Linked DNA regions of Sus scrofa. The protein of the gene in region 2 interacts with the protein of the main gene of each other region in a pairwise test. Links are inferred from orthologs where the notes say so. Each region holds a gene or a part of one and is shown on either strand. Other genes may lie near its edges. The genes, in order: PRMT1, EWSR1 and MAPK1IP1L.

Region 1 (4,216 bases), on a different chromosome or scaffold from region 2:
GTCATGTCCTCGGCGTTGGGCTTCTCGCTGCTTTCTGCCTGGCCACAGGACACCTGGCAGGGGACGGATGGGAGCAGAGGTCAAATCTGAGGGCTCCCCACAGACTCGAACCTCCAGGTCCCTACTTCTCCCTGGAGGAGAGAACCACCCCCAGACGGTCCCACGGCAAGCCTACAGACCCCGCTCGCCACCGTGCCTCTCCCAGGAACCCCCAAACCGAACAAGCCCTTTTGCCTTTCCAGGACCCCCCAGAGCACCATCCAGTAGAGTCCCCCAATACCTCAGCCAGGCCTACCATCTCTCCAGTCTCTCTGCCCCCGTCTCTAGCTCAGCCCACAGCAGGGGAGGGGAGGGAAGGCAGAACCCGGGCAGACACCGGTAAGGACAGAGGAGGGCTGGAAATGGAGTTAAGGAAGTAGCCGCAGTGTTCGGGGGAGGCCAGATGGGGGCCACAAACCTGGAGGGAGTTTGGGCTAAGTGTTTCGGGGGCACAGGGTAAACTGGTTTGAAGCAAGAGGGCTCAGAGTTGGGCCAGTAGGAAGGGCCTGATGTGTGATGAGGTATGTTTATGTGGGGAAGGGGCTCACGAAAGGATATTTACTTCTTCAAGAGGCGGCTGGAGGCTCATCCCATTAGCCAAGGTGGCTACAAAATTCTAGGAGAGAGTAACAGGGAGAAAGGATTAGCTACTGGGAGAGACTAGGGGAGGGCCAGGCCAGGGGACCCGGGCTCTTGGAGAAGGGGGTGTTTCCTACAATTTGGCTTTGCTTTGTGGGGAGTGTGGGAGAGGGAGTGAGCAAAGAGGGAACACTGTTCTTGAAAGGGGTGGGAGAGACAGAGGAAGAGAGGAGGGGGTTCTGTCCCTGCTGAGGCTGGAGAGATGGTGGCCTGCCCCCACGCAGCCCCTCTCGGTCGGGCAAGGCACCTGACCGTGCGCACCTCCCCCATCCAGGCCAGAGGAACTGGCACCCACTGGGCACACAGGCACTGCCAGCTGTCACTCCCCCTCATCATCTAATCCCCCCAGATTAGGTGACACTTCCTGACACACACCCGCATCCTGGGTGCCCTAAGTAGCTGGGGGAGGGGGGCTGGCAGGGTGTACCCACTGGGCATCTGCCACCACTGCAAACCAGTCTCTTGTCTGAGAGGATTCCAGAAAGGAGGTGTGGCACAAGGCACCCCCTCGAGAGCTGGCAGCCCGGCCCCTGGCTGCTGCCTTGGACTCAGCCAAGTCCCAAACAAAGCCAGTTAGAGCCAGTCGCCCTGATTATTACCCTCTGCCGGGGGAGGCCAGACCCAGGACCCTCAGCCCATCTGCCCACATTCAAACAACCGCCGCGGCAGGCCCTGAAACTCCCCAGGTGCGGGGCCAAGTCCTGGGGCAACCTCTGGGGAAGCGCTTTCCTCCACCCACACGGGCCCTGGCCCAGGAGAGAGCCGAGGGGGGCAGGAGTCATTGGAGTGACCCCTGGGAGCTCCCCTCCATTCCAGAGAGGGCTACAAGGTACCGGGCCAGAGTACAGAGGCCCCGCCGGATCGCATCTCTTCCAGATGTACCCACCCGTCAGGCTCCGAGAAGCGTGAAACCACAGACAGAAGCCCCCTGGGCTCCAAGCCCCACCTCCATTCTCCCAAACCCGTGAACACGCGGAAAAAGGAGGGCGGCCTGTGCGGGGATTTCCCGCTGGGTCCTACTTCTCAGCACCGACACCTCCGCCAGGCAGGCCCCCGGAGGGCCTGAAACTCAGCACCGGAACCAGCCTCACACGCCTGCACGAGAACCAAACCTCACGGAACACCGTTTAAGGCATCCACGCTCCGGACCCTCACACAGGGCTTCAGGAAGGGGGAGGTTTCACTCCCACCCTCACAAATGCCCTGGGGAGAGAAACGGAGCAACGTTCGCGGCCTCTAGTCCCTCAGATCCCCTTCCCAAGACAGACTCTCTCTCCCCTCGCCTGGAAGGCTCCAGCGGGGAGGTGGGCTTTGGGACACGCCCCATGAAAAAGAGGTCCCTCCCACACAGCAGAAATGGCCACAAGGGGGTGCACGACGCCTTTTCGGGAAGGACCTCCTTCTGCTAGATGCCCCCCCCCAACCAGAGGGAGGTCACAGGGGCATGCTCCACCCCCCCCCGCCAGCTCCCCAAGCCCCGGGCGGGGGAGAATCCATCGACAGGAAACTGGGGTGGGAGGGGGGCCCAGAGGGAACCAATTCGTCTTCCTCCAATCCCAATTCAAGAATGCACGAAACCTGGACCGATGCCTAAGCAGATGCCCCGCTCCCACAAAGGGTTTGTTCAGGGTCAAGATACATCGGCCCTCCCAAGAGACTCTTTACTTGGCGGAGCCCCTAAGTCAGTCCCACCCCGAGATGCTTGTCACGATCCCCGGGGAGGAGGGCAGGGGGCCTCAGAGGGAGGGTCGGAGCCTCCTCCCCGCCCCCCCTCAGGGCGCCCCTCCCCCGACCGGGGGCGGGGCCTTTGTCCCGCACGTGGAGGCCGCCCGGCCGGCGGGCACGGCACACCCCCTCCCCACCCACCGCGCTGCGGCCACGTGGGGACCAGGCCGGAAGCGCCCCCAGCCCTTCTCATCGTGGGAGGGGGCACGAGACCCTCGATTCTAGGGGGTGCCACAGGCGCTCGAAAGCTAGGGAACCCGCACCTCAAACGGCATCCCGGATCCGGAGCATGCGGCGCCCCCTCCGTACGACTAAAGGATTTCAACCCCAATCCGGCGACTCAGAGCCCCTTCCCCACGACGGAGGCATAAAACGCTGACCCTCAAACTGCCCCCCGCCCCCGACGGCGCTCCAGGCGCTCACCTCCATGATGCAGTTCGCGGCCTCGGCTGCCGCCATCTTCACCCGCACCTACTCCTCCTCCGGCCGCCGAGACCCCCCCCTTCTCCGCACTCCCCCGGGACCGCCTTATACCGGAGGGTCCACGGCCCGCCCACCGCGACCCCGCCAGGAGATCTCATTGGTAACGGAGGTGACCCGTCTGGGAATACCGCTTTGCAATTGGGCTAAAAAGACGCCCATCAAAATTGAGGAGACCGCCCAGTCTGGCGTCCAGAACCCCGCCCCTTTAGGTCGACCGGGATGGGAGGGACTGCCTGTCTATCGCAAGAAGTGCGACAGGTGATTGGGCAAAGTCAACAGGGAGTTCCCGCCCCTTTCCCCTCAGCACCGCCTTCAAGCTTCCCGGCGGACCCCGCGCCAAGCGGACATCTTGAAACAGAGCAGTCTATCACAAAAATGACCCGCCTCTTGATGGCTGCTATTGGTTTATCAGCTGTTGTGACGTCACGAAGCTTTTGGCCGGCCTCAAGGAGAACGTGACGATTGGCCCACGAAAAAGGAAGGCAGGGCTTTAGGCTCCAGCGATTGGCTCAATAGAACTGTCAGTCATCGCCCTTTTGATGGCTTCTCCCAGCCGGAGGGGCGGGCACTCAGGAGGAACGAAGGAGCTTGTGCCCATTTTCCTGAAGGAAAACTGACCCAACGAGAGGCCCAAAGAGAGGGAGTTCATGTCTGGGGTCCCGAAACAAATCAGGAATGGGGCTCGGGCGTCAAGGTATTTAACCCCTGGCCCGCTACTTAATTGTTCCATGTTTTTTAAACCCAGTGACCCCACTCAAGCCACTTTGCTTTTTGCCAAGTCCACCCCTGCAGGTAACACACGCCCCCTTTTTCTGTCCAACTCCTTTGTCAGTCAGGGCGCCCTTTAGCTGCCACCTCCTCCAGGGAGCCTTCCTAAACCTGCAGGAAAATTACGTACTGAATGAAGATGAGTGCCACTGGCAGAATATATGCATCACCCCAGAAAGTTCTTTCATGACCTTTTCTATTCAACATCTCCCCACCCAACCCCAGAAACCATCACTTTCTGTGTTGTCACCGTCACGCATCTTTTCCATGTCTAAAATTTCGTAAAAATGATAAAAACATTTTTGTAAAAATGTAATTACAGTATGTACACAAGTGTTTGTCTTCTTTTACTGAGCATAATGCTGTTGAGAATCATTCATGTCACACCTAGCAGTTGTCCAGTCCTTTTCATGGCTGAGGAGTAGTCCATTGAATCCATGGGTTACATTTTCCTCTTGATGGGTATGTGGGTATGTGGGTGGTTTCCAGGATAGGGCTGTTAGGAATAGAGTGGCTGTGAACCATCATGACCAAGGCTTTCTCTGGATCTATGTTTTCCCTT
Region 2 (3,636 bases):
TTGCAAAGTCCTTAATGTCAACCATATAAAGCACTCATTTATTTAAATTTAACTGGAATCTAGTCTACCCACCCTATTACTCCTACAAAGATTTTTTTCCCTACATAATAGGCCACCTATAAGATGTACAAGACTAAAAAAAAAAAAAAAAAAAAAACCAAAACTTAATAAGGGAACTCATAAAAATACTCAGCAACAAAGCCTTGTAGTGCTATACAGCAAGAGATTCAGTTAATAATATTTTAATTAATTGTAGTACCCATTAAGCAGCCAAGCAAAATGAGCAAAAATTAACAGGGCAGAATGATTTAATTACAATTAAAAAAAGACCAAAAGCAAAAAGACAACACACCTACTGTGTTGATAAATTCAAGGAAAAAGGTACTAAGAAACATCACACAAACCAACTAAAATTTTTACTCAACCTGAATAGCAAAAACTCATTCTAAAAGCTTAACGAACTGAGCTTTGTATAGTCTCCTTCTCACGAAGTGTAATTTCAAAATATTCTAAAATAGTCTTTTTATATATGTCTTCCAATAATTATCCAATAACCTTTTTTTCTCTTTCTTTGCTTTTTAGGGCTGCACTTGTGGTATATTTAAGTTCCCAGAGTAGTGGTCAAATTGGAACTGCGGCTGCCAGCCTATGCCACAGCAACAGCCATGCAGGATCTAAGCCACATCTGCAACCTATACCACAGCTCACAGCAATGACAGATCCTTAACCCAAAGAGAAAGGCCAGGGGTCGAACCCACATCCTCACGGATACTAGCCAGGTTTGTTCCCGCTGAGCCACAATGGGAATCCTCCAATAAATTTTATATGTAAAGACAGTGTGAAATAAAGAAAAAATTACTAACTGCTCTTGAACCTACTCTTACTATTAAGTCCTACGTAGTCTGGTTCAGCCCCAATTTGCTCACCAGGTTTAATATTAGTTTCTATATTCCAAAAGTTCATGAGAGAATTAGGGGAGCTATGAAGGGTCCTCCATAAACTATAAAGTCTCTATTAACATTCCTTATTAAGTACAATTTCTTGCTCATCCAAACTACCAGTTTCTGTACTAGAATGTCCTACACTTTTTGTGACCAGTCATGATGGGACTTTTTCAATGACAAAGCGAATAGATGGCTCTATAGAACTTAGAAAACGGTTTCCTACAAATGACTTTATCACGTTACTATAAAAATGATCCAAAGACTAGACTTAAGCTGTTTTATTTAATTTGAGATACTTTTTTAAATGGGTTAAGGTGGTCAAAAAGATACAAAACTTCATTATAAATCAGTCCTGGGGACGTAATGCACAGCAAGGTGACTACAGTTAACCATACTGCATTGTACAGAGTTGCTAAGAGAGTAGATCTTAAGTTCTCATCAAAAGGATGATGCATGGTGATTCATGTTAACTAGACTTATTATGGAGATCATTTCACAATATACACACAGAATCATTATGTTTTACACCTGAAACTAATGTTACATGTCCATTACATCTCATTAAAGATTTAACAGCTTCACTATGTAAAGTTTATCTCACAATTTCAAAATTCTGTGCTGAAAATACAAACCCTTTAATTTCAGTTCCAGCTTTTTCTATAGTTGCCAACTAACACTCATAGAATGTTTAAACATTTCCCAACCTATTCAATAATATGCATTAATTAGGTAGATTAGGAAGTACTTCCCATCAAATGAAAGACGCCACGCAAAAGATAAATTACAGATGTTTCTCCCTATCAATGACTTTAATAAAAGGTTTTACATCCTTAAGACTTTTGTATCAAGTACTTTTTTTTTTTTTTCTTTTTTTGCCTCTTAGGTCCGCACCTGTGCCATATGGAGGTTCCCAGGCTAGGGGTTGAAACAGAGCTATAGCCGCTGGCCTACGCCAAAGCCACAGCAAGGTGGGATCTGAGCCTCATCTGCTACCTACACCACAGCTCACGGCAATGCCGGATCCTTAACCCACTGAACGAGGCCAGGGATCAAATCCGCAAACCACATGGTTCCTAGTAGGATTTGTTTCTGCTGAGCCACGATGGGAACTCCTAAATATTTTAACAATGATAATGATGACGATGTTAGGAGTAGGTGGCGGGGAGAAGTAAGGATTCTGAATGTTACATAGCCCTGAACCTAAAAAAAGTTATGTAAAAATTGTGAATTTCCCGTATACTGCAGCTGGATAAGGATCTGGCAGTGCCATAGTTATAGCACAGGCTGAAACTGCAGCACAGGTCCAATGCCTGCCCTGGGAACTTTCACATGTCACAACTGCAGCCAAAAAGTTACATAAAATTTTCACACACTCCACTTCAACCCCAGTATTAGGATAAAGTTTATTCTAATTCTTAGTTTTTTCTTTTTTTTTTTTAAAGCTCCCTGAAATGTTTTTATATATATTTAAGACATACTATGGATTAAAAGAATCAACACTGAGAAAATAAAATGTGTCTGGACCGAAACATTTACAGACAAACATAATACATGCAGGGTGGCAATCTGTTCCTCTAAATAAATCTAATCATGCAATCTATCCTTCAGGGAATAGGGGAGTAATCATCTGAAATACCTTTGGGAAAGTGAACAACTATTGTTAGGGCCTGACACAAAATAATGTAAAATAAAACAAAGCAAAACCTTTCCCAAAATCACATAAAGAAAAAAGGACATGGATCTGCAAATGGCACCTAAAGCAGTTTTCCATTAGCACCTTGTTGTGTGTGATGTTAGAATATTTGAGGGTTAAACAAATGAAAACACCTAAATAATTAACATTACAGGGTTAGACAAGATGGAAAGCATTTCCCATGCAAGAATGAGCAGGATAGTCAAACCTGTACTGGTCCCTTCTACTGTGGAAAGCACAAAACAAAAAAGTAGAGGGCACACTATCAGATGAAGCAAACAGATGGGAAAATTGGTTTGATTTTTAAGCAGCTCAGTTTAAGAAAGCTCATTCTTTCCCAGCACTAGCATTAGCACAATCTTTTATATATTCTTCATTATGTTGTGAGATTATTCAATACACTGTATAAAACAGTTAGAAGGAAAAGATCTTTTTTCCCTTGGACTCTATCCCACCCACATTCTATTAGAGATCCCCCAAGGTAAAAGAAAAGGAAAAAAAAAAAAAAACGAAAAACCCCAACCCCACTCCTCTTAATAAAGGATTCCCAGATGCCAGGGTATTGATCAGAATATATACCCCAAAGCACAAGTAACAAGCTTTTAAGCAAACACCCTAGCTAACATGGTCCAAAAGTCTCTCCAGAGTCTTACCAGTGGGAGGCTGTCCATAAGAAGTTGCATAGGCAGTCTGCCCATAGGTCGCAGTGGTCTGAGCCTGCGTATAGCTGACATCAGTGGGCTGTCCATAAGTTCCATAACTTTGTTGCCCATACGCCTGCTCAAAGAAAAAAGGATTCAAGAACTTCATACAGGGAGTTCCTTAGCAGATTCCGCTGTGGCTTAGCAGATTAAGAACCCAACACAGCGTCTGTGAGGACACAGACACAGGTTTGATACCTGGCCTCGCTGAGGATCTGGTGTTGCTGCAAGCTGCAGCTCCAACTCGACCCCTAGCCTGGGAACTTCCATTATGCCTCATGTGTGGCTGTAAAAAACA
Region 3 (4,102 bases), on a different chromosome or scaffold from region 2:
TTTCTCATCAGCAAAACAGTTGTAATTCTTGACCACATGTTAGTAAAATATCTAATAATCTGTAACATGTTATAAAGAAGTAAGATATTTATTAAGAATCACTAAGAGAGAGCAGGATTTTTGCACTGTTTTGTTTAGTATGGGGACGAGAGGATAATGGTAATATAGTGTACTGAGAAAAAATATATATATATATTTTTACTATTTTAGGGCCACACCCATGGCATATGGAGGTTCCCAGGCTAGGGGTCAAATTGGAGCTACAGCTGCCGGCCCACCCCACAACCACAGCAATGAAGGATCCAAGCTGGTCTGTGACCTATACCACAGTTCATGGCAATGCCAGATTCTTAACCTGCTGAGCGAGGCCAGGGATTGAACCCACAATCTCATGGTTCCTAGTCAGATTTGTTTCTGTTGCTCTACAACAGGAACTTTCGTGGAAATGTATTTTTTGAATTAGCATATCTGAAAGTTGTGTTAGCTTTTATCAGATAAGCTCTGTATTTAGGCAACTCCAGAAATTAGGGATTTGCAACATTTCAGACACTTTAAGTTACTTAAAAACATATAATTAAAAAATAATATTTCCAGCAACCTCACATCAGCCATATTTTCTACATTCAGATACTTATTGGAACATATGTGCCAGGTACTGTGTTGGGCCTTGGGGAAATGAACATGGAATAAAGGCTTGAAGTGCTGCTGGTCTGTCAGAGATCTAGCATCTAAACAGAAGCTACCTGACCGCAGGTAAGCACAGGGCACTATGGGGGTACCCTGAAGAGCTCCCAAAGGAGTCAAGGCAAGGGTATCAGGGGAGGAATCCTGAGGAGTGGTGCCTGTGCAGTCTGGAAGAACAATGAGGAAAGAGCTGGGAGTAGGGGATGGTGGGACAGGCTCTAGGGAGAGGAGAAGTCTGCAAAAGCTGCAAGAGATGAAAGAGAGATGTGGGAAGGACATGTAAGCAGTTCAGAATGGTGGGAATATAGAGAGGGGAAGACGTAAGCCTTAGCAGTATCCAGACCAAGGTGCGAATGTCTGTCAGCTCATCTGAATGAACCTGTTACTTCAACTAAAAGAATGGGCTGGTAATGTGACAGACTAAATGGGACTGGTAAATCCAGTGCCTATAACAAAAGTGCTTGGAAAATATACTATCTTGCGTTCCGTGGTACATGGGCGAATTCCATATGGTTAAAACACCAGAAGTATGACTGACTAGATAACATTGCAGTTCTCCCCTGGCAGGTTCTGGACAAGCTGAACTTTGCAAACCTAAGAGGTGAAAGCAGACTGGAATAGCGCCCACTCTCACTCAGATTTATTGAGACCTGCATAATAAACACACCTCTTGGTCACTGTCTGGCACACAGCAAAACTCAGCTTTTACAACTGCTACCATAGGTCCACAAACCTTATCTGTAGTTCTCAATTCAGAAACCTCTAAAAATGAAAGAAATGCTCCCAAGTTCGGTGTACACCTTACTTGGTGGCAAAAATCTGACCTGACGTTATTTCTCATTTTCATTAATTCCTACCTATATCTGCACAAATGTTAATAATGGATTAGGGTGCTGCCCAGACTCTGCTGGAGTGATCTCTCATCTATGCACCTTATTGTCTTTCTAAATTCTAAAGATAAAAATCCAAAGATTTCTGAATTCCAAAACATACTGATCCCAAAGATTTCGATTAGGCGATTGGCTCTGTTCCTCCTGGAAAGAGGAGAAGAACACGCCGGTATATACAAGTTGGAGACAACCTAGTTATGACCAGGAGGTTCAGAAATGCCAGCAGCAAGGAAAATTTCTATTCTTCCTGCCCCATGAACACTCCTGAACAAAAGAACTTTTGTAAGATTTCTTAAGGCTACCTTCGCATGTAATGAGAGTTAGTTTTCAAAACAGGCGCTCAGAACCACTAGGTGTCTGAGTGTGTATTTCTTTACTAGCAATGCTAGAAACTTTTTTCCGGTCAGGTGGGTACGGTTTGATTCTTCAACAGTAGAATCTATATTTATTAAAAGTATTACTCTTGGTTTTTAAAAGAAAACGGTCCAAAGCTACCAAGCGCTCCTAAATCCTAAAAATGGGGAGTATTACAAAACTGAGGACTTCTCATAGTTTCTGTCACGGGTGTTCCTCTAATTGCTTTCAATTGCTCTAGAAATACCGACCAGAATGTTACACTGCGAATAATCTCAATTAGCTCCAAGGACGCCTCCAAGAATCGGGCCTGCCTCTCCCTTTCAGTAGAAGTAATGAATGAGGGAGGCGGGCTGGGCCAAGGGGCTCGAGGCCCGCAGCCCTTTAGGGCCAGACGAACAAAAGGAGTCCGGGATCAACCGGAGCTAACCGGCTAGCGAGCGGGTCGTGCCCGCCCGGGAAGGGATGGGGGAGGGGTCGTGCCCGCCCGGGAAGGGGTGGGGGAGGGGCCAGGCCCGCTCCCCGCCCCGCCCCCCAGCCAAGCCTGACGTCAAGCACGGAGAAACCCGTCCCGAGCGACGTCACCCGCCTCCCACACCTCCTCCCGGGGGGCGATCCGGAGATCAGCCCGCTGCCGGGAGCAGGATGACGGGGGGAAAGCCTTAGCCCTCCATCCCCCAAGAAGCTACTCCAGTCACCTCCGTTACCGCTCCCGCCTCCCGCTTGGGCGTGATCCCTCGCTCTCCTCCACGATTCCGCTAGTGCCCAAGCAGTCTCACCCGACAAGATCCGAGCCCGCGGAAAGGTCTAGAAGTGGCGATGGGTCCGCAGGAACTTGGCGCTGAAGAACCGAGCGCAACCCTACTGACGGCAGCGGCGACGGCGGCGGGGGCGGCAGCACCAGCAGCACCAGCAGCGCGCGGCTCCTCCTGGCGCCGGAACAGGAAGCGTCGAGCTCCGAGCGCGTAGCCCCCGCCCGCGCTCCGCCTTCCCTCGGGTCGGCTCGGCTGGGTCGGGCCGGCCGCGCGCGCCCCCTAGAGGGGCCCGGTAGCACTGCGGCCGTCCAGGCCCCCGCGGCCCCCTGCCCCTTGTGCTTGCCCTAGGGCGGCTCTTTCCTCCAGTTGGGCTAGAGGAAAGCTCTGGGTTTTCCGGAGTTTTGGGCAATCTGGAGGAAACGCTAGGGGCCGGTGACGTTCTGAGCAGTCTGGCTGAAATTGCTAACTTGTCTCCTGGAGAGGCTTGAAGGCAGGTTCTGGATTCCCTACAGCTGGTGGTCTCTAGAGCCACAGCTGGCTAGGTGTGAAAGCAGCCTAATCTCTGGACATGGATCATTTGACCAAAACTGGGGAGAGCTAAAGCAACCATACGGGAAGGGGAAGACAAAAAAAATTTTGTTTATAAATAGCTTGACAAATTGATACTAACTACAGAAACAACGGATGTCTTTGTAGATTTTTCTCATTTAGTATTGTCCTTACTTTTTTTTTTTTGCCACGCCTGGCATGTGGAAGTTCCTGGGCCAGGGGTAGAACCTGCTGAGCCAGAGCAGCGACCTAAGCAGCAGCATTGACAATGCCGGTTCCTTAACCCGCTGCTACGCGGAGAGTCTCACTCCACTTGTCCACTTTCGAATATACCTTTAAATACCTACTCTGTCACACCCAAAAGATGATTGACACGTGGCCCCACCATCAAGGAACCTGCTAGCTAGCTGGTAATGAAGATTACCAGCTATATATAGCTATGTGGTATATATATATATAGCTATGTGGTAATAATTTTGCATAACTATGGGCAAAACACATATAAAACGTACATGTATTTTACATGTAAAAATTACAAGTATGCGATATTTTTACAACTTTTTGCTTCTTTGCGTAAGATGTTGAAGGGACATTTTACTGTAAATTTCTTTTCTTTTCTTTTTTTTTTTTTTTTTTTTTGTCTTTTTGCCTTTTCTAGGGCGGCTCCCGCGGCATGTGGAGGTTCCCAGGCTAGGGGTCGAATCGGAGCTGTAGCCGCCGGCCTACACCACAGCTACAGCAATGCGGGGGCCTATACCACAGCCATAGCAATGCGGGATCCGAGCCGCGTCCGCAACCTACACCACAGCTCATGGCAACGCCGGATCATTAACCCACTTGGCAAGGCGGGCAAGGCCAGGGACCAAACCA

The links.
Region 1: the proteins of EWSR1 (region 2) and PRMT1 interact in a two-hybrid assay, tested with the Homo sapiens proteins (2 studies listed by BioGRID and IntAct). The link is inferred for Sus scrofa from reciprocal best matches to the Homo sapiens genes EWSR1 and PRMT1.
Region 3: the proteins of EWSR1 (region 2) and MAPK1IP1L interact in binary tests that used the Homo sapiens proteins (3 or more experiments, as listed by UniProt). The link is inferred for Sus scrofa from reciprocal best matches to the Homo sapiens genes EWSR1 and MAPK1IP1L.

Annotation. Positions count from the first base shown.
Region 1 is NC_010448.4:54,717,603-54,721,818, reverse strand, and holds the start of PRMT1 (protein arginine N-methyltransferase 1), read right to left. Parts: upstream 2,920-4,216; 5' UTR 2,863-2,919; coding exon 2,827-2,862; intron 1,921-2,826; exon of another isoform or gene 1,565-1,920; intron 656-1,564; coding exon 602-655; exon of another isoform or gene 299-601; coding exon of another isoform or gene 296-298; intron 54-295; coding exon 1-53. UniProt on the Homo sapiens protein: Arginine methyltransferase that methylates (mono and asymmetric dimethylation) the guanidino nitrogens of arginyl residues present in proteins such as ESR1, histone H2, H3 and H4, FMR1, ILF3, HNRNPA1, HNRNPD, NFATC2IP, SUPT5H, TAF15, EWS, HABP4, SERBP1, RBM15, FOXO1, CHTOP, MAP3K5/ASK1, MICU1 and NPRL2.
Region 2 is NC_010456.5:46,415,192-46,418,827, reverse strand, and holds part of EWSR1 (RNA-binding protein EWS), read right to left. Parts: intron 3,415-3,636; coding exon 3,291-3,414; intron 2,864-3,290; coding exon of another isoform or gene 2,846-2,863; intron 1-2,845. UniProt on the Homo sapiens protein: Binds to ssRNA containing the consensus sequence 5'-AGGUAA-3'. Might normally function as a transcriptional repressor. EWS-fusion-proteins (EFPS) may play a role in the tumorigenic process.
Region 3 is NC_010443.5:184,400,128-184,404,229, reverse strand, and holds the start of MAPK1IP1L (MAPK-interacting and spindle-stabilizing protein-like), read right to left. Parts: upstream 2,887-4,102; 5' UTR 2,627-2,886; intron 754-2,626; exon of another isoform or gene 628-753; intron 1-627.